3 linked regions of the Arabidopsis thaliana genome follow. The protein of the gene in region 1 interacts with the protein of each later gene in a pairwise test. Each region holds a gene or a part of one and is shown in the gene's direction. Other genes may lie near its edges.

Evidence for each region.
Region 2: the proteins of SMO1-2 (region 1) and AT3G16180 interact in a protein complementation assay, tested with the Arabidopsis thaliana proteins (one large-scale study listed by BioGRID).
Region 3: the proteins of SMO1-2 (region 1) and AT3G08600 interact in a protein complementation assay, tested with the Arabidopsis thaliana proteins (one large-scale study listed by BioGRID).

Annotation. Positions count from the first base shown.
Region 1 is NC_003075.7:11,952,694-11,959,523, reverse strand, and holds SMO1-2 (sterol C4-methyl oxidase 1-2), read left to right. Parts: upstream 1-2,605; 5' UTR 2,606-2,828; coding exon 2,829-3,164; intron 3,165-3,242; coding exon 3,243-3,565; intron 3,566-3,906; coding exon 3,907-4,054; intron 4,055-4,147; coding exon 4,148-4,180; intron 4,181-4,340; coding exon 4,341-4,400; 3' UTR 4,401-4,684; downstream 4,685-6,830. Other genes in the region: AT4G22758 (PPR containing protein), read right to left, coding at 202-406, 703-1,047; AT4G22755 (methylsterol monooxygenase 1-3), read left to right, coding at 5,915-6,238, 6,523-6,830. UniProt on the Arabidopsis thaliana protein: Non-heme iron oxygenase involved in sterols biosynthesis by catalyzing the removal of the first methyl group at the C-4 position. 4,4-dimethyl-9-beta,19-cyclopropylsterols such as 24-methylenecycloartanol are the preferred substrates.
Region 2 is NC_003074.8:5,479,268-5,488,040, reverse strand, and holds AT3G16180 (Major facilitator superfamily protein), read left to right. Parts: upstream 1-2,853; 5' UTR 2,854-3,097; coding exon 3,098-3,200; intron 3,201-3,286; coding exon 3,287-3,504; intron 3,505-3,510; exon of another isoform or gene 3,511-5,024; intron 5,025-5,032; coding exon 5,033-5,589; intron 5,590-5,666; coding exon 5,667-6,564; 3' UTR 6,565-6,716; downstream 6,717-8,773. Other genes in the region: AT3G16175 (Thioesterase superfamily protein), read right to left, coding at 6,833-7,003, 7,136-7,276, 7,383-7,544; AAE13 (AMP-dependent synthetase and ligase family protein), read right to left, coding at 7,913-7,957, 8,073-8,126, 8,223-8,402, 8,544-8,617, 8,713-8,773. UniProt on the Arabidopsis thaliana protein: Low-affinity nitrate transporter involved in xylem-to-phloem transfer for redistributing nitrate into developing leaves. Not involved in dipeptides transport.
Region 3 is NC_003074.8:2,609,499-2,616,075, forward strand, and holds AT3G08600 (transmembrane protein, putative (DUF1191)), read left to right. Parts: upstream 1-2,676; 5' UTR 2,677-3,147; coding exon 3,148-4,098; 3' UTR 4,099-4,520; downstream 4,521-6,577. Other genes in the region: iPGAM2 (Phosphoglycerate mutase, 2,3-bisphosphoglycerate-independent), read right to left, coding at 1-95, 398-822, 914-1,117, 1,201-1,479, 1,575-1,739.

The DNA of each region.
Region 1 (6,830 bases):
GAGTAGTTTTGATATTTTCCATAACCGTTGGTGATTAAAGCAAAACTAGATATCATGGAGTATAGATATTTAATCCAATCAATCTACGTCAAACTGAAAACAACTGATTCAAAATTTCAACCAAAACATCATTTGTGCTTTTATTTTATTAATTCTATATGTAAAAACAATTATTATTTTTGGATAATTAATATATCTTACACTGGATGCTGAAATGTGACTGATGCAATTCAAAGGCAGAATCTCGATCGAGTTTTGGAGTTCTTCCTTCTTTACAGTACTTGTCAACGACAATTTTGATCGTTTCTTCGACGTTGCAACTCAGTTTAACCATTGCTCTTACCGGTCCAGGACTTCCTTCTACTGCTACACTGATTATTACTTTTGGTGCTTCTTTTGTATTACCCTGTTTCGAAAAATAATAACAAAATGAGGTTCTCTGATTTTAGAAATTTAATAGAAATGTCAATTTTTGGTATATTTATCACGATCTGATAACATGAACTGGAGAACTGACTCTAGAATTTGCAGCTGAACTTAAAACTCTTTGTTCAGCCTATATAATGGTTATATTGAAATATTTTATAATATTAGGCTTAAACTGTAAACTTTTAAATCTTTGTGGACTAAATGATGAATTCTCTTACAGAGTTGAAATCATGAATTTGTTGATTTGAAAAAATAGAAGCAAACGACTCTGACCTCTTGATTGATCGGAGATGAAGACGAGGGCGAATATAAGTTCAACAACGACGGAGACGAAGCGAAAACCTCAGAGCGAATCCTAGGCAAGTAAACGATCGGTTTTGTTTCTTCTTCCATCGGTAAACCTCTCATCGGCGATGGTCGCCGCAAGTGATTACTCTGTCCGTCGCGGTGGCGATTAAGACTCGGCTCTGAGAAGCTTCTCTCGAAAACCTTATTACTCGATTTAGAGCGATTATTCTTGTCGGAAACATATCTGAAAGCTGTTCGTCTTGTTCTGGAGCTCCGACCTCCATTTCCTACAGGATTCGAAACTTTTCTCCGGTGAATCGAATCAGACATTTCGTGAATGATGATCTTTGCTTAAGGAGGAGGAAGAAGAAAAAACAATTGAGAGGTTTTGGTGGTTTGCTTGGCAAAGAAGCGAATTAAGAGTTATTCTCTGCTTTTGCTTTGCTTTACTCTTTTATTATCTTCTTTTCTTTCATTTGTATTTTTCAAATGTTTTTCCAAATCAAATTGTTTTTTTTTTTCTTTTTAACATAAGTGTGGATTTTAACATTTAAATTCAAACCGACCAAAAAAAATACACGATTAAAGGTAGTAATATAGACGTGGTTCTTGTAATATAGTATTTATATTTCCTGTCGACGATCGATTCTTTTATAGTATGATATCTTGTGCTGATTCTTACGTACTTGTGTTTATTATAGTAAAATAGAAATGCGTTGAATTGTAGCACTGTATTAGATTAAAACTTCTATGTAATTATGGAGCTAAAATGTTTTCTGGTTAGCATACGGAGTATTTTTTAAAAAATCTATCCTTATTATGGATAAAATGTGTTGGAAAAAGGCAATAATATACTTGTACAAATGAATATAAATTTCTTGATGCATTGTTTTAGAAGATTACTTGGGAGACTCACAATCCTATAAAGTGTAAAGGAAACAAAACTATTGGATTTGTAGAAAAGTTGACACGTTAAACAAGAAAACGAGAAACCCAAACAAGTTTCGTAAAACACAAAAAATCTAAGGTGATAGTGAGAAGCACATAAACAAATGAAAAAAAACACATAAACAATTAGAGAGGAGGGAGACTCAACTAGTATCATCAATTCATTAAATTTTACGAAAGTGCTGAGTAATGGAAGTAATATAAAAAATTTATAACCAAAAACAAGAATTCATCAACGTCAAGAAAAAACAACATAAAATAAAAAGGAGAATTTGTGTGGCTGAGATTGGTCCGAGGTTTGTTTCCACTGTTAAAAGAAAGAACTTTTGGGCTTGATTTAAAGTCATTAATGGTGTGGTCGACTTCTCTTATGCCATACGCACTCATGTTCACGCGTAACGCACTTGTTTTCCACCAAGTATTTAACAACGATCGTTTGTGACCCTTTTTTATGTATACTTGAAACTTAAAAAATATGTATTATTACATTTAAATATCATTTATTGTCATGACGAAAAAATTGTAAGACTTTATAATTTCAAATGTAACGTCACTTTTCGTGATGATGTAATACCATTCTATTACTTAAATACAATTGGCCAACAGCCTCAATTTATTTCAACCTTTTGCTATCTCTATAGTATAATGGTGTCATAAAAATTCATAGACACATTCCACAAAACTCGTGTATGTATATCCGTGTCTTTATATATATGTGTATATCCAAGTGTATAATAAAGTTTTTTTTCTTAAAAAAAAAAACAGAAATTTGTATGCACCATTTAAACAATTAAAGAAAGAAAATTGGGCCTACTCCAAACACAACGCTACTGTGGAGTACATTTTATCCATTTTAATGGCCCAATAATTTATAATGGGCTTTTAGTATGGGCCATTTTGTCCCTCTTTTTTATGTTGTAAGCGAGATCTTGAGACAATGTTAGTAATTTTGGTTTAATCCGGTTCAACAAGTAAACATCACACTTGTAAACTAAACCGATAATGCCACGTCACTACTCCAAATATTCGCCAAATCATAACAGACAAAATCCAACAACAACGACGACACTCTCCTCTCTCACTCTCTCTCTCAATCTCAATCTCAATCTCACGTCAACGACCGTCGCCGTCACCGGAAGGAAACGATTTCATCATCTTCTACAATGATCCCATACGCAACAATCGAAGAAGCGTCGATCGCATTATCTCGAAACCTCACATGGCTAGAGACTCTCTGGTTCGATTACTCCGCCACCAAATCCGATTACTACCTCTACTGCCACAACATTCTCTTCCTCTTCCTCATCTTCTCTCTCGTTCCTCTCCCTCTCGTTTTCATCGAATCATCTCAATCCACCTCAGATTTGTTCAATCGCTACAAAATCCAACCAAAAGTGAAAAACTCATTCTCATCGATGTTCAAATGTTACAAAGACGTCATGAAGATGTTCATCCTCGTCGTTGGTCCATTACAACTCGTTTCTTATCCTTCGATTCAGGTTAATTTCTGGAATTTGGCTTCTAATTTCGGAATTGATGCGATTTAGGTTGATTTTGTTTTTCGTGTGTTGAAACAGATGATTGAGATACGAAGTGGATTACCATTACCATCATGTATGGAGATTGTAGCACAGTTAGTGGTTTACTTCTTGGTAGAGGATTATACTAATTACTGGGTTCATAGATTCTTTCATTGTAAATGGGGTTATGAGAAGTTTCATCATATTCATCATGAGTATACAGCTCCTATTGGTTATGCTGCTCCTTATGCTCATTGGGCTGAGGTTTTGCTTCTTGGCATTCCCACGTTTCTTGGACCTGCTATTGCTCCTGGTCATATGATTACCTTTTGGTTGTGGATTGCTTTACGACAGATTGAGGCTATCGAAACTCATAGCGGGTAAGGAAAAGGAATGGTTTTGAATTGTTTATCTTAGTTTATAATGCGTTGGGGCTATGTGGGAAGTTTCAATAGTGCGTTTACCTTTTGTTGGTGGGGCTAAGGTTAGGCACTAGCCTTTTCTGATGCTTTATTGACTGTAATTAGCTCTAGGTGATTGTTTAGAGACTGCTTAGTTAATCTTTTGTGGTCAACATGAGCAAGAAATCATTCTTGAGATGATAAGCATCTTGTCTTGTTCAAATAAGTATTTGGACAATATGATGATTGCTTGGTGCATGAAACTTGTTTCTCTGGAGATAAATTGACTTGTTTTTTTTATTTTTCGTTTTCTTTTGAAGATATGATTTCCCATGGTCTCTGACAAAGTACATTCCATTTTATGGTGGAGCTGAGTATCATGATTACCATCACTACGTTGGAGGACAAAGCCAGAGTAACTTTGCTTCAGTTTTTACTTACTGCGATTACATCTATGGAACTGATAAAGTGAGTAATGAAACTTCAGTTCTTTTCCGGTTAGCGTCTACTAATTCTGGATAAAAATTTGACAATGTGGGTATATGTTCTTATTTTCATCAGGGTTACCGATTCCAGAAGAAGCTTCTTCAGCAGGTAAATAAATACTCCATAAACTGAGACTAGCTTATCTCTCGGCATACCGCATACCCATAAACGCAGCCATCAAATTGCAAGCTCACATAACAGTATATGTGGTATCTAGTATCATCATATTGATGATATGTTTCTTGATGCTATATCTTATGAGTTGCAGATGAAGGAGAAGTCCAAGAAGAGCAACAAGCTGGTTAATGGAGGAGAGAAATTCGATTAGTAAATCTAAAACCCCTCGCGAGGTTGACTTACCGTAAGTTTCAAGCATTCTACAAATGTAGTCAATACTTAAAAATGAAAGGGTAGTTAGTTTTCTCTGTTCTGGTCTTCCCTGTGTCACATGAAAATGCTCGTGACGAGTTCCTATCTGAAGTTTTTTTTAAAACTCTTTTGGAATTGGTGTGTGTCAATAAATCCTTTTTGTATATTTTAAATGTTACATAGTGCATTCATTGGCTTGTAACAAGTTCCTACTCTGATAGTATTAAGTTAAGTTAAGTATAACTTAAGTATCTAACGTTAACAACAAGGCCCGTCTAGCTCAGTTGGTAGAGCGCAAGGCTCTTAACCTTGTGGTCGTGGGTTCGAGCCCCACGGTGGGCGTTTCTTTTCCTTTTTGTTGCATTTGAGTGGCATGATTTAAAAGGAAAATCCTTACCATAACGATAGTTGCATTGATGATGGGGGTCGATTTCACTCTCGGAAAACAAATCTAATCAAAGAAGGCTAAAACAAGCGAAACACATGCATTTACTAAAGCTGTCTCACCAAACTTGAAAACAACAGTTTTAAGTACAGTAGTAGGTACAATAACTTATTTAGTTGTTACCAACTAATTTATGACTTTAAAATCGAAACACTCTCTTCCTTCCTGTGTTTTTTCAACTAAACCTAACAACACACAGTTTTTCTTTAACACACATTTCCTTGTTCTCGTTGTCTTAGAATTACCATGGACACAGTGAATATGATAATAACTTCAAGAATGGGGTTGTAGCTGTGTGAGGCTATATTTTTTTTTTTGGTTTAATGAGGCTATATTGTAAACTACTTCAATAAGTTTTTACTCTTAAACCAATTCACGAAAGAGTTTTAATGAACTTGATATTAAGTTTTTGTCCACACATATTTTGTGTATCAACGAGTTTTTCTTTTCTAGACGTATGGATCATCACTCTTCGTTTCGTAGATTGTTAAACAATGAAGAAAGGCTTTAGCTATTCAAAATCATTTGGTGAAAAGAAATTACTCCTGATGATAGGTCTATAAATGAATTTGCAACAAATATTTCCGAACATACAATTTTAGATATCTTCTAACCTAAATAACTACTAAAAAATAACAACCTTAGTAACTTTGAATTTTCGTTTTATATTTTTAAAAAACGAAAATGTGACCCGTTCGTATCAAATATAGACGTAAAGAGATAAGATATGTTTTGTTGTGTTCTACTAAAAAGTCAAAAAACAAATACATTGAGGACCCAATTTGGCGGACTTCTCAAAGGGTAAATAATATACCAAAAATTGGAAAAATCAAAAAAAAAGAAAAATCACCGAAATTAATTAAGTAGGTACCATGTTTCGACATTTGTGCATCTTTATATAGTTTTTCAAGCATCCTCATCATACATTTTCCAAAACACATTCAAGACACGTTTTATGAGTCTATAACTCCAAAACAATGCTATAACATAAACCACACAAATTAATCCAGACACAACACTCTCACAATATGATCCCTTATCCAACCGTAGAAGATGCGTCCGTGGCGTTAGGACGAAACCTTACTTGGTTCGAGACGGTTTGGTTCGATTACTCAGCCACCAAATCCAATTTCCATGTATATTGCCACACCATTCTGGTTCTCTTCCTTGTCTTTTCACTAGCTCCTTTTCCTCTTGTGATTGTCGAATGGACCGGTTGGTTCGATCAGTTTAAGATTCAGAAGAAGGTTAAGTATTCGTTGTCTGATATGTTCCAATGTTATAAAGAAGTCATGAAGTTGTTCCTTCTCGTCGTCGGCACATTGCAAATCGTTTCTTATCCTTCCATCCAGGTTACTATTCATTTTAAATTTTCATTTATTCTTTAAAACAAACAACCAAATATTTTATGATATATGTATATTCCTTTTTTTAAGTGTTGTTTTTGCAACGTTTTTTGTGTGAGTGGGTTGTTATACAATTTTGTGCTTTTTTTTTTGGTTATTTAGAGAAAAATCCCATTAAAATATTAAATTGAAACGTTATATTATTGCATATATGTATATACCCTTCTTACAACACTTTTTTTTGTTAATTTGTGATGTTCTTGAGATATACTATATGTGTTAATTGACAGATGGTTGGGATTCGAAGTGGTTTGCCATTACCATCGTTAATGGAGATAGTAGCACAATTAGTGGTTTACTTCTTGATAGAAGATTACACTAACTACTGGATCCATAGATGGATGCATTGCAAATGGGGTTACGAGAAGATTCATCGAATCCATCATGAGTACACATCACCTATCGGATACGCATCGCCGTATGCGCATTGGGCCGAGATTTTGATTCTTGGGATTCCGACGTTTCTTGGACCGGCAATTGCTCCTGGCCATATAATGACGTTTTGGTTATGGATATCTTTACGACAATTCGAGGCGAT
Region 2 (8,773 bases), on another chromosome or scaffold:
CTTATTATCAGTCTCTCGTAAATTCACTTGATTACTAGGATATACTTTTTCTTCTTTTTTTCTTTTATCAAGTTATTAATTTAACCAATTTTCGTATATAGCTTATACCTCGCAGCTTTTTGTGTTAAATGACATTATGGATTGATGGTCAGTGAGTTATTAAAACGTGATACTTGTAACTACAGTATGCGAAAATAACTCAAATAGTTTCGACATTAAAATTCTCCAATTTACAGACTGGACCTTAATATCCAACAATTTCCATAACAACCAATTCAATAGCAAAGTAACAAAATACCCACCTTCTAAATTTTTAATAAATTACAACAAGAAGAAGACAAGGTAATTAGCTTGTGTGTAAATGGAGAAGGGACTGGAACAGAGCTAAAAAAAAATAGAGAGAACATTGAATAAGAAAGTAGAGTAGGTGAGAAAAATGAGTCTGACAAAATAATATATTTTTTTTGAATTTGAGAAGAAAAAATAAGTCTGAAACCTGACACATACCTCAATAGACCTTTCCTTCTTGAAGTAAGAAATGGAGGAAAAATGAGGAGGTGGCGTGTAAGTCAAGCAATCTTTGAATAATAATGTTTCAGAGACAATTCATTTTCTACAGTCTTCTTCTTTTGGAAGTGTCCCAGAATTATCTTCGTCCACAATCTACATTCACTCTTTCACAACATTATCGAACACCGAATTTAAATGAAATATATTCTGTAATGTTTCTCACCAAATTCTATGCATAGTGTTAACCTAGAGACCATTTCTTTCGACTGTATTATTTCACAAACGCCGAAATGTATATAGTAAAAACAATTTATGTTACCATTTGCTTTTTGCTTTATCCACAGTGTTTTTTTTTTTGTTTCGTTTCTTTAAAGTGTCCCATCACTTTTATTTGGATCTAACTCTGATTTTCTTGGGTTAAGTTGTTACGACGAGGCTAAGTAGTTATGATGATCACAAATTAAAAATGAAATGACATAATGAGTAGTGTGGATTAACAAGTTTGTCAAAAAGGAGATTGCAGAGTATCCAAACACCCACGTGCAAGGCAAATGACCATGTCACTCTCATCATTATGGCTTTTTATTCACTTTTTGTTTTTAAATTATTCTAATGTTCTAAGAAATTATTTTAAGAGATTTTTTTAATAGCAGGATAATCTAATGTTGAATTCTTGATGTATTGATTAATTACGATTTTTTTTAAAAACTAAATTAGGTATTTGGTATTGAAACTGTTCATGTGGATGCATGAAAGACCACAAATAAATTTTTGGATAATGAAATTTCATTTTTGGTTCCTACTAGCGAGTCTTCTGCCATCATCAGACACCGCACTTAATTTTGTACGAACTTTTTCATTCAAATCTGGTTGCACCATTTTTAATTTTGTACTGAACATAAGTACTTTACTTATAATCTGGTTTAGGCAGAAACTTTCAAATACTTGTATCATTTAACTTGGAAACGTAATTACTTAGCGTATAATGATATATAGCCTGTAGGATATAGAATCACAAATTAGTGATAAGTATTTTGATACAGTAGTTTATATCCTCAGAATCTAACAGTATGATATTGTTTAGCAATATATAATGTTTTGTGAATAATGAATGTTAGTTTTCTTTGCATTCATTATTTGGATTAAGTCACATAAGAAAATATAATTGTTAATTTGGAATGGATAGTTTAACCGATTAGATACGAGTAACTTTATAAGATGGGGTTCGTCTTAAAGTCGACATTAGCAGGGAAAACTACTAATTTAATCTCTTGGTCGAAGTTACTATACATCGTAAAGTCCGAAACTTCTTAGATACATAGAAAATTATACAGTTAAACATATACTATTATTCATATTTTTGTTAAAACATAAACTATTATTCATGAGGTCAATTGTTACATGGGTTTGGTAAACTTTCGTATGCTATTATTTTATTATATTCTTTGGGCCGACTCTTTGAGATGTTGACTTATTAGTGTGATAAGGAGAAAGCGAATTAAAAAAAACTTTATATATGATTGCACTTACTTTAATGAATCCATTTTTTAACTTTAAACTGAAAAAAAAGAATTGAATAACAAAAAGTTTCAATTTGTCAAGAAAAGAGGAAGAGAGAGAGCCAAAACAAAAGCTGTTAACCTCATGGGATGTTTTCCATTCTCAATTATTAGTAAACTTTTGTTATGATTTTTGATCCGTTCCTTTCGATAATTGGATGTGATTTGTGGAAAGCCATTTACATGTTTAGTTACAGTATAATGATATAGTTGAAGCTCTCATAAACTTTTTAAGAGTTTAAGTCTGATTAGAAGACATCTTTAGAAGATAATACAATATTGAAATTCTTGTGATTGATTCTTCTACATTGCAAATTCACTTCCAACAACTATTTCATCAAAAAATCTATAGAATAGTTATGGTTTCGAAGTATATAACATTAACATATTTAACTAATTTGAAATGTACATAAATAATAATAAATTGGATTTATTTCAAAAATAAGTCAATAACACCAGACCATTTTATGTTTGACGTAAGTAACATGGATGATGGAACATTGGAAGTTTGATGTACAATGTACTGTTTTTTTCTTTTCTCTTCTTTTTGAAATATCTATGTAAGTTAATCTTCTCCATTTTAGATATTTTCTTCACAAAAAAACGAATATTTCTGGCATTTATGTTTCAACTTGTATTTAGCTAAGATTAGGAAAATGACGTTTTATCTAACTTTTTTTCTTTCATACTACTAACAAATCATTTCTAAGTTCTAACTAAGAATGAAAATTGTCGTGTGCCATATAGGATAAAACCTCACTCTATAAAAATCATTATGATAAATTAATTAATAAAATTAAAAAATTAAAAAACAATTTGCCTTGAGGGAAAAAGAAAATGTAGTATTTAAATAACAGCCATTTATTATTGCTCACTCGTCGCAGAAAACAGAGATTCCTCGCTGTCTGAACTGAAAAATAAGATCGCATTAACTCAAAACTCTCACAAAGACAAAGATCTTCTCCTCCTTCTCTTCTCTTTTTCACTTTTCTCTCTTCCCCTCTCTCGAAGCTTGAAAGGTAACAACAATGGAGAACCCTCCGGATCAAACAGAGTCAAAGGAGACTCTTCAACAACCCATTACAAGAAGAAGAACAAAGGGTGGTCTTCTCACTATGCCCTTCATCATTGGTAACAAACGATCTCTCTCACTTTTTTAGACAAAAACCCAAATCTTGTTACTAATTTTATCTCATCTTGTTTGTTACTCGGTGAAGCAAACGAGGGGTTCGAGAAAGTGGCGAGCTATGGATTATTACAGAACATGATTCTTTATCTGATGAGTGATTACAGATTGGGACTTGTTAAAGGACAAACTGTCTTGTTCATGTGGGTTGCTGCTACTAATTTCATGCCTCTCGTTGGAGCTTTTCTCTCAGATTCATATTTGGGTCGCTTTCTCACCATTGTCATTGCTTCTCTCTCCAGTCTCCTGGTAATTTCCGTCCCCTATTTAACCGGTTTACGCTTCTTCTTTCTCCCGGTTTACTCCGGTTCAATTTTTTAGCCACTTCTTTGACTCAACATTTTTCACCACCTAGTTAGCCTTTGGTTTGGAAATGCTTTGTTTATGTTTACTGTCAGTAAAGGTTGAGTTTTATTAAAATTGGGAATCTAAACCGAAAGTTTCGGTTTAAGTTGATTTGGGTGAAATATCGTGCTTGTATTCAGTGTTTTATTACTTGGCTTTAGACAATTGGACCTTACTTACATGCATTGATAATTGGAGTTAAATTCCGGTTTGATAGTTTTCGATAATTGGACTTGACTTTACTTGCGTCGACAACAAAAAGAGAATTCCATAAAATCTAACCAAGTCATAGAATTAAGGGCCAAGAATTAAATGGTACGAGGTTTTGTATGTAATTATTTAATTATTTTATATTCTCGAAATAGTAAAAAAAAGATTGGTATGGTAAATTTCAGGGGTTTTTACTAAAATTTTATAACTTTTTACCGTTGGTTTTGCTAAATCATTGATAGCTGTATATTTCTGCTTTAAGTACTATAATATCTAATGATAATCATCTACAGTGAAATTTCTAATTTAAGAGTTGATATGATTAAGCTTTTTAGAAGCCTTTTTCCATTAAGAGTCAAAATTTTCACATGTTGCATGTGCTTCCCTGAAATTGCTGTCCAATGAATGGAGAAACTAAACCCGCTTTGATTTGTTTTTAATATTTGTGTCCATCAAAAATATAAAAGTCGGTAAAATTAAATTCGAAGCCAGGTGTTCTGAAATGTCCATGTGAGTTTATATAATAACAGGTCTTAAATAATCATAAAGTATTTAATATCATTATTAATTCCTTAAAATCTTGTTTGTTGCTTTCCTTGTGGTTATGGTCTTGTGGGCTTTCTCTGGCAACTTGTGTGATTGTGAGTGACCACACTGCTTGCATCTCTCTATGTATAAAAAATATCATTTTGTTATTACTTTTTGTTGTATGTAGACTTAGAGTTTCATTATTTATATGTCCAAATATATGGGTCAAGCTGACGTGGACCTACATTTTGCCACCATTTAAGGATTTGACATTAGTTTTTTGGCCAACATATAAGTGTTAGACATGAAAGCAATATCGATTGGTGACCCATGTTTTTGTACTACTTGTCCCATTCTTGATCAAACTTATTATTTCACCCACTTGGAAAAAAAAACTTATCATATACATAGTGACATCAATTGATTTTGAAATCTCTACATCAATCATTCATCTCGAGTATCAATCATTTTCCGTAAGAAAATAATGTTTTCGTATGATGGATGTGACAATTGACGTACGTGTAGATTCTGATCTAATACTTGGATTCTTGTTCTTGGAAGTACTTTTTTTGGAAGACATCTACAGATTTTACGAATGAAGTGATAACTACATTTTTATTATGAAAAACAAAAACGTCAAAATCTAACCTACTACATTGTTTTAATAAATTTGTCTGAATCAAAAATGTTACAGGGGATGGTGGTTCTATGGCTAACGGCGATGTTGCCGCAAGTAAAACCATCACCGTGTGTAGCAACAGCCGGAACCAACTGCAGTTCCGCGACATCTTCTCAATTGGCTCTCTTGTATACCGCATTCGCATTAATATCGATTGGATCAGGAGGAATCAGGCCATGTTCTTTAGCCTTTGGTGCTGATCAATTGGACAACAAAGAGAATCCTAAGAACGAGAGAGTTCTTGAGAGTTTCTTTGGTTGGTACTACGCTTCTTCATCAGTTGCTGTCTTGATCGCTTTCACCGTCATTGTTTACATTCAAGATCATCTAGGATGGAAAATCGGGTTTGGAATACCCGCGATTCTCATGCTGCTCGCGGGTTTCTTGTTTGTTTTCGCGTCTCCTCTCTACGTTAAGCGCGATGTGAGCAAGAGTCTGTTCACTGGTTTAGCTCAAGTGGTTGCTGCAGCTTACGTGAAGAGAAACTTAACTTTGCCGGATCATCATGACTCCAGAGATTGTTATTACCGTTTGAAAGATTCTGAACTCAAAGCTCCAAGTGACAAATTGAGGTAAAGTGAAATCAGTTTCACATATATAGTTCTTGGTTAGTTTTTTTATTTATTGATACTTTCTTGCAATTGCTTAGGTTTTTAAACAAAGCTTGTGCCATAAGTAACCGCGATGAAGACCTTGGTTCTGATGGTTTGGCCTTAAACCAGTGGAGGCTATGCACAACGGACCAAGTTGAGAAACTCAAGGCGTTGGTCAAGGTGATACCGGTATGGTCCACGGGGATAATGATGTCGATAAACGTTAGCCAGAACTCTTTTCAGTTGCTTCAAGCTAAATCAATGGACAGACGTTTAAGCAGCAATTCGACCTTCCAAATCCCAGCTGGATCGTTTGGTATGTTCACAATCATAGCCTTAATCTCATGGGTTGTTCTGTACGACCGCGCAATTCTCCCTTTAGCTTCAAAGATCCGAGGCAGACCAGTTAGAGTCAATGTCAAGATTCGAATGGGATTAGGGCTATTCATATCATTCTTAGCAATGGCGGTTTCCGCAACTGTTGAACATTACAGAAGGAAAACCGCGATAAGCCAAGGACTCGCAAACGATGCCAACTCAACAGTGAGCATCTCAGCAATGTGGCTTGTACCACAGTATGTACTACACGGTTTAGCAGAGGCCTTGACCGGGATAGGACAGACCGAGTTTTTCTATACCGAGTTTCCTAAAAGCATGTCGAGTATCGCAGCTTCGTTGTTCGGTCTAGGAATGGCAGTGGCTAATATCTTGGCTAGTGTGATCCTAAATGCGGTAAAGAATAGCTCAAAGCAGGGCAATGTGAGCTGGATTGAAGATAACATCAACAAGGGTCACTATGACTATTACTATTGGGTTTTAGCGATCTTGAGCTTCGTTAATGTCATCTACTACGTTGTGTGTAGCTGGTCCTATGGTCCTACGGTGGATCAGGTGAGGAATGATAAGGTTAATGGTATGAGAAAAGAAGAAGAGGAAGTTATTAAATTAAACTAAGACCAATTGGTTGATCATAATTAAATGGTGTACGTGTGTTATAAAATTCTATATATTTGTATGTAATTAGATTATTATATCATGGATTTGGATTTTCTTAGGATGTAGAGGTTGATGTTAATTAATGGGTCGTGTGTTTATTTAATTATTACAAAAAAAAAAAAAACATTGTGTGTATGATATTTGATTGAAGAGAATCAAATTTTCAAAATGGTGATTTGTGGTGTTTTTGACTTTGGGAAATTGAATCACTTAAATTAAGAAAAAATCAAAGCTTACTAAGAGTAGAAACATTTTGTATGGCTTTGACGCTAAGTGGAGCCATCCACAATCTTCCTGTGGCTATAATTTCTCCACTTGTTTCTCTTCTAATCTCAATCACAGCTGATTTTAATCCTCCATTGCTTCCATTCACTCTTGCTTCTATCTCTACCGTTTCCTGCAATTTTGTAGTTTTTTCTTATCATTATTACTTCTAATCATTACTAATAATAGTAATTTACCTAATTTAGTAGTTTGCATGTTTCATAACAAAAAAAACGAGAGAAAAATGAGGATAGGGAAAGCGAACGTGAATCTTGGCCGTTGAATAAAACGAAGAGTTGAGATCAACAGAGATATGGAGTCCGCCGCCGGAGGAGTACACAGCTGACGCTCCGATCGAGTCCATCACCGCCGTAATCACTCCCGCATTCCAACTTCCATCTTCTCCCTGAGAATCATCTTTCGCATTGTTTAGTAATAATAACGTTCACCAATCAAAAACACAAAAAAGGAAGCTTAAAACTAGATTCGTTGGATTAAGTAAATTTTATTACCACGACATGATCTGTGACAAGTAATTTACAACGTAAGATCCCTTTCCCGACATGGATGAGTTCTAAGCCTTTCAAGATTAAAATCTCGAACTCGGTTTGCCCGTTTCCTTTTGCTATCTCTTCGAGATACGTCGTCGTGTTATGGATCGTTGGATCTACCATACTGTCCCTTCTTCTTCGTCTTTTTACGTTCTCGTTACAAAACAAACTTGCGTGTGGGAATATATGGTTATCGGATCATCATAGTTAATTACCATTATACCCTTTTGGAATGATTACTGATTTAGCATCAAAGAGTCAAAGACTATGGTCAACTTTCCTTCTTTCACACTATACAATTTTGTTGTTCTTCACACTAAACAAAGAAATAGTATATAACAAAGATTTACTTCTCAAATAGTTAATTTGGTATTGATTCTTGACATTATTGAGTCAAAGTACATGATACAGGAAAGAAGGAAATTACATTTTATGCATACGTGTCATATAATCAAAAGAACAAGGAGTAGCAATGAAATCCATGGTTGTCTTTATTCTTGATTTTCCAGAGATTTCTTTAGCTCTTTTTTGTTCACCTGCAACTCGAAAAAAATACTCATACACTGAGAATGATTCTTATTGGTTACAACAAAACAACTATCTCTGATATCATTCAAGAAAAAAGAAAAAATTTGAGAGAAATATAGCTACCTTTCCCATGGCGTTGCGAGGCAAGCTCTCCCATATCAGCAATCTTGTTGGTAGCTGAAAAGACAGAATATTATGGACAAGAAAAAAAAAGAAAAAAAGATTGACAAGACTGTTGCGCGTTTTGACAACACTTTGGCAGATTTTTAGTACCTTGTAAGGAGCAAGCTTGTCTTTAGCCCAACCGCACAGTTCTTCTAAGGTTATTACAGGTTTTGACTCATCCTCTCTTCTCTTCTTTGCTGCACTCTCTGCTATAATTATCGCAGTCACGGCTTCTCCATAGTCGTTGTCTGTTAACCCCAACACGCAACATTCTGCAACAGTAGGGTGCTGCATAACACATCCCCCAGAGATATCATACAACGATTAAGTTCTCTCGGTTCAGTTATCTAAAGCCTATTTCCCAAGGAGATAAAAGCTTCTGATAGCTTCACAGAGCCAAAAAAAAACTCAAATGGATGTTAATGTTACCTCGAGAAGGGTTGATTCGATTTCTAAGGCAGATAACTTGTATCCTCCAACCTTCATAATGTCAGCGCTATTACCTGATCGACACCAGAGAAGATAAGATAAGATGTTAAATGAAGGAACACAAAGTACTTTTAAATTGTGTTTGAATGTACTTATAGGTTCTGCTTACGTCCTAGAATCACGTAATATCCATCCTCATCCACTCTTCCAGCATCTCCCGTCTTGAAGTA
Region 3 (6,577 bases), on another chromosome or scaffold:
TTGGAATCTCAACGTACTCTTCTAACTTTTCATTGAAATATCCAGAGCGGTTGCCATTCCAGAAGAAGGTTACATGGCCAAACTTCACAGTCTCACTGTTTCAGTGAAATAAAATTTTAATAGGTTAATAGCTGAGAATTCATTCATTATATGTAACTAACCATCAACGGTATAATCTCATCAAGAAAAAGTGAGCTAGGAGATTTCACTAGTTTTAATCAACAAACAACCCCCAATCATAAATTAGACCTCTACCGAGCAAGTAAAGAAGACTGGATTACTCTTATCACAGTTTCAATTATGAATCCAATTCCAGCAAATAAATAAACCAGGAAGCAGCAATAGAAGAAAATGGCAAAGACAATAACTAAAGATTTGAGAGATTCTAAAAGTTAACCTGCAAGCAAAAGTACGAACGCCATTGTGTGCCAGATATTCACCAGAAGTTCTGTCAATCAATGGTGGAGAAACAAGATAGCGGCTAGGAAGCTTAAGCTCTCCATCATATTGGAGCATTCCTGCATAACGTATATCAGGGACACGTACGCGATCAAACTTGTCGAAATCTTTGTATTCGAGGGCCTTTGCATGCATGACCATTCGATCAGCACGGAAATTGAATGTAACAACTGCGTCACCATCAACAATTGGACCCACAGCCTTTCCATTATCATCAACAATAACAAACGAAGGCAAATACTGGTCATTGGCACCAGGTTCTGCCCTCAGTGTCTTAACTGCTTCAAGAGCGCTTTTAAATTTGTGGGGAGCTTCCCCAAGGACTTGTGCATCCCAACCTCGTTTAACAACACTCCAATCATTCTGCAAGGAAGGAAAGCAAAAATTGGATTCATTTCTAAACTAGACTAGACAAGGCATGACATTCATACAAGATCTCACAAGCATTGCCTACCTCATAACGGTCCATTGTGACATACATTCGACCTCCACCAGATGCAACCTGAGCATCAACACCTTTCGCACGTAAAGCAGCTAGGTCAGCTTCAAGAGTTTCAACAAATCCGACACTAGAACCATCCAAAACATCACGACCATCAGTAAGAATATGGACGCGGATTCTCTTAGCACCACGTTCTGCAAAACCCTTAAGCAGCAACTGCACCAAACAGAACCAAATTAAAGAAAATTAACAAACGCCAACGTTTCAAAAGAAATGTGTAACAGATGAGAATTAAGTACCTGGACTTGATCCAAACGAGAGTGAACTCCACCATCGCTTAGAAGACCAATAAGGTGCACAGTGCCTTTCTCAAAAGATTGAGAGATGTATTTGAAACCTTCATCTTCATAGATTTTCCCTGAAGCAAGGGCGAGATCAACAAGCTTAGCACCTTGAGCGTAAATTCGACCAGCTCCAAGAGCATTGTGGCCAACTTCACTGTTTCCCATGTCGTCTTCGCTGGGGAGACCAACGGCGGTACCATGAGCTTTGATCAACCTCCATGTGTCGGGCTTCCCCTGTGAAGAATAAAATCGAACCGTTGAAGTCCATAATCGGAATCCAGCGAAATCATCGAGGAAAGAAGTGGATATAAACAAAAAAGGAAACATACGTCTTTAAGGGAATCCATGGCAGGAGTTGGAGCTTTATGGATGCAATTGTATTGATCGGGATCAGATTCACCCCATCCATCGAGAACAATCAAACCGATAGTTTTGCCTTTGGGAAGCTTGGGGTGGTCCGCAAGTTTCCAGTTAACGTCGCCGGAGCTACCCATAACTGTGGATTCAGATCCACTCGTCGGTGAGAAATTAAAGGTTTAAGGAACAGATCTGAGAAGCGAGAGAGAGAGAGATAACGGAAGCTTACCAGCGGAGAAACAGAGGAAAGCTTCTCAAAGAGTCTTATGGAGATTCGCAGAGACAGAAGTGGTTATGTGGTGAAGTATGGTAGGTTGAGAGCTATCACTGACATAATATGAGACTTTTATAGAAACATAGAAATGGAAAAGTTAGCGATGACGTGGTACCAATTTAATGGGCTTTACTTTGGGCTCAAGTAAACATTGTGAAGCCCCCAAAAAAATGGAAGGAGACGAATGTTCTAGTTTTAGCTGCTATGAACGAATGTTCTGGATCATGCCGTTTGTAATAGTCATGGTGTGCGCCATGTAAAAAAAATTGTATATACCTTTTTATTTTGGTCAACGTAAAAAATAGCATACAGAAAAGGTCAAACCGGAGTTAACTTAATAGTTTATACGGTATTTGAACCAGAATTTGATCAAAAATGGGTAAGTTTTAGTAACTGGGATTACATTAATTTCTGTTGACAGTAACTTTTTTTTATCTAAATCATTATTTAAACCTTGAGATTGCATTAAATCAAACTGAAATTACACGAAAACCAAACCGAAAACTCATGTAAGAAATTCAGGGTTGTGCACATTTATTTATTCAATATCATCATAATATTAACTGGGAACCTTCAAAAGGTTGGTAGAAGGCTAAAAAACAATTTCTAATGGGCCAAAGACAAAAAGTTGAGTTCCTATATATTGGGCTTAAAAAGCCTGAAACTAGATGAGACGTGGTTCATAGTCAGATAAATGGGCCAAGGATAAGGAAAGACAAAAACAAAAGTAGAAAAGAATCATACAGTATACATATATGGGAAATATACAGAGAGAGATACAGATAACACAATAAGAGGTAGACGGACAACTGTTACGGCGAAATTGAATGCCGCAATGTATCAATATGATTGGTCGAAAAGGAAAGTAAAAAAAACAAACAAAATATTAAATTTTTGTTAATGTGTAAAGGGAGAAAAAATCAGATGAACAGGCTGTATCATTTTTTTTTTTGTGAACAAATGGGACTGACGACAACACTCTTCTTCTCCTTTTTGTCCTTTTGGCTCTCTCCTTCTCTCCTTTCTCTCTCTCTCTCTTTTCCACCGGCGACCATTCATTCTCTCTCCTCCTCCTCCTCCTCCTCCTCCTCAGCTTCCTCCATTGCTCCTTAACCCTCATTCCTCGATTTGTTCTTCTCTTCACCATTTCCCCTTTTTACCCTTTTTCTACTCAGACGTGACGGCGACTTTTTATTCCTGTGTCTCCCACCTTTGACTCGCCCTGGGGGGATTTTTTTTTGCTCCAGAGGCGAAAGAAACAAAAAAAAGCAATGGGGTTTCTCCGTTGTCTCCAGCTGCTGCTGCTTCTGTTTCTATCTCTTCGTCTACAAAAGCTCTCTGCTCAATCTTCTTCACCCAATGCTTCTTCTTCTTCTTCACTCGATGCTCTTCTTCAAGATTACTCTTTTAGAGCCTTGCTTCGTCCTCGTACCGGCATTCTCTACGAGGCTACTACTGTTCCTTCCAATTTGACTGGGATCAAACTCGCTGCTATGAGACTCAGAAGCGGAAGCTTTAGAAAACGTGGAGTCACTCCTTTTAATGAGTTCTCAATTCCCAGCGGCGTTATCGTCAAGCCGTATGTGACAAGGCTTGTTTTGGTTTATCAAAACCTAGCTAATTTCTCTCACTTGTATTACCCTTTGTCTGGTTATGATTATGTCGCTCCTGTCTTGGGTCTTCTCGCTTACGATGCTAAGAATCTCTCTGCGCTTAATTTGCCTCAGCTTGATTTAAGGGTGTCTAATGATCCTATCAGAATCGATTTCTCTGATCTGGAACGAATCCCGCAAGGGTCTAGTGCTAAGTGTGTTAGATTCGATTCTAAAGGTGAAGCGAGTTTCAGCGATTCGATTCAGCCTGGAAACACATGCGAGACTGAGCATCAGGGACATTTCTCTGTGGTGGTGAAATCTGTGGCTTCTGCTCCGAGTCTAGCTCCTCCTGGGATTGAGAGTAAGAAGAAGAAGAAGAGCTCTGATTCCAATTCCAAGACTTGGATCATTGTTGGGTCGGTGGTTGGTGGATTGATACTGTTGGGGCTTTTACTGTTTCTGGTTTTGAGATGTCGAAATTACAAGAAGCAAGAGAAAATGAGGGAGATGGAGAGAGCTGGAGAGACAGGGGAAGCTCTGAGGATGACTCAGGTTGGTGAAACAAGAGCACCAACTGCTACTACGACTCGTACACAACCAATGCTTGAAACCGAATACGCAGCTTAGGATACTTTTGTGTACATCATCATCATCATCACATCTTCTTGATCATCTGTTACTGTCTTTTTCTTTTTTTCTTCTACAATTATTCTTCTTTTGGTAAAGTGTTTCTTTTTCTGATTATTTTTTCTTTGTGGTAAGCAAGTTGATACTTCCACATTCATCTTGTTTCTCTGCTGGTGATAAGGAAATAAGTAATATTGTTTTCTTCTTGTGCTCTCAAATTAACAAACTTTGGTGGTCTCTCCATGAGAATGAAAAGAGTTGGATTGTTTCTGGAGTGCACTCACTTTGTTTTCTTCTAACTACTTTTGCTGTAAAGCTTTGCCCTTTTTGTAATAATTTCAACATCTTTTTGTCTGAGAAGCAGACAGTTGAAGAAGATGTATATCATCCTATCATCCATACTCAACTTTGTTACATTGAGCTTAGCATTCTTCAAAAGGAACTAGTGTGTTCTTGAGATTTGTTGAGTTTTAACATTTTTTGCAGCTATCTGCTTCATGCAACTTGTTGACCCTCACATTTATATTAGAAGATCACCGATGAACCAATAGATTTTGGAACCAAAGAGGTTAGAATCCGGTAGGATATGTAGAAGATGATTTGCACTTGGCAATGTTACAACGTTTATGTTTACATCTAGGATTGTCTTGTTTGCTTACCTTATATGAAAAGTCATCTCGTTCATATGGATTTTTTGCATTCTACATTTTAGAAAAGCACCGTTTGCCACTTCAGGTATGTAACAATGTGCACAGCTACAAATCTTTGCACTGAACAGATTTGGAATAAAGTTTGAGTTAAAGTGAATACATGACTTGGTTAATCCTGGCTTGGGCCATCTTGTGGCCTCTTGCTCATATCAAGTAAAATGCCATGACAACAACGTTAATGGCTAAGTTAGCATTGCAGCATCTCCTCTGACTTCTGCAGATACCAGGAGATTTTTTGTCTCATCATTCCAAAATCTTAAGGTTGAAAAAGAGATGAAGTAAAATGTATAAATGCGGTATTAATTGTGTTTCAAGGACACACAAATAATTGCCAGTTTTTGTCAAAAGGAAACTATAGTTGTAGAATATTCGTCTCTTTTCTTCTTTTTCTGTTATCTGTTCTATTAGAAAGCTAAAGAAATACATCAAAGTCAGGTCTCAACGGTAAAATGAAAACAAGCTTCTTTTTCACTAAAGAGTAAAAGAGATTCCTCTCAACATTGGTCTTTCATATTTTTCCTAGCTCATATTCTGGTGTGGTTGATCGAATCTTAATGAACCGGAGAAAATAAAAGATTTGATTATGTAATTTATCATAATCAAGAGCTTGTTTGTGAACACATGAAAAAGTAAAGGAAAGAAGAAGAACTCTCTCTGCCTGAGGAGTTGTAATTTTTGGCAGAAGCTGGTGTCGTTTTAAAGAGAAATTAGAAGTGAATCTATGTAGTTGTGTTGGTTGGTAAGATCGATTTAGTTACATTAAATAAAAAATATTCCTTTGAGCAAAAACAATTAAAAAAGATAGGTTTCGTCACAAGGTGGACCATTTCGAAGAAGAATTAAGAGACGAGCCCACTTGAAAGAGACATAGCGAGGGGACCCCATGTGAATCTGCAAGCAGAGACAGAGGCTTTGACCGTTCTCATTCATCAACCATCCTCCATTATTAGCCAGAGTCATAAACCATGTGATTCATCATCACAAGGCTTCATTGGACTCTCTCATGCATATTCACAATCTCCACTTCCATCTTATACAATTCCAGTTCCTACCCGCAACAAATCCAACACCTGAAGATGATACTGATGCTTTTGAAAGTATAACTAGGAATGAGAGAAGTACTAGGATGAGCCATCTTTCCAGATATTCATTTATTCACTCACACAGCAAGAGAGTAGTTCAGTGTATCATGCAACTTAAAAGCATACAAAATATCACGAATAGAGAAATATTGATAAACCAAATGTTATTGAGGTCTGATTTCTGAAAGCTTTAATATGTCCAAGGAAAATCAAATGGGAATGAAAGTACTAGATCCCCCAGCTTCTTCTTCTTCTGGAATGCACTTTATTTGTCACCACAAGTGGTCACCTTAAGCCCCTACATCACATCACCATATTACTCTCAGAGTTAACATCGCAAGCCAGAGGAGAAGAAAAGAAAGTAGTGAGAGGATTTCGCATGCAGAGAAGAAAGAACATCACTGTCCTAGAGCTTCACATTACAAAAAATAAAAACAGCTCCAAAAGATTATCAATAAACCAACCATAACCAGGACCTCAATCATTCCTAGACAGGGCAAAAACAAATAAAACAAACCACCATCCAGAAGCTTCCAGTGGTAAAACAAAAACTAAGCAGAAGTGCCTAGGATAATTTATCGAGTACCCAAAACTCAGGATATGATTCATTTCTCTACACAGAATAGCAACCAAACCAGGAACCCTGAAGCCTCAAACTGACAGAGAAGAGAACTAAGTAGTAACAAA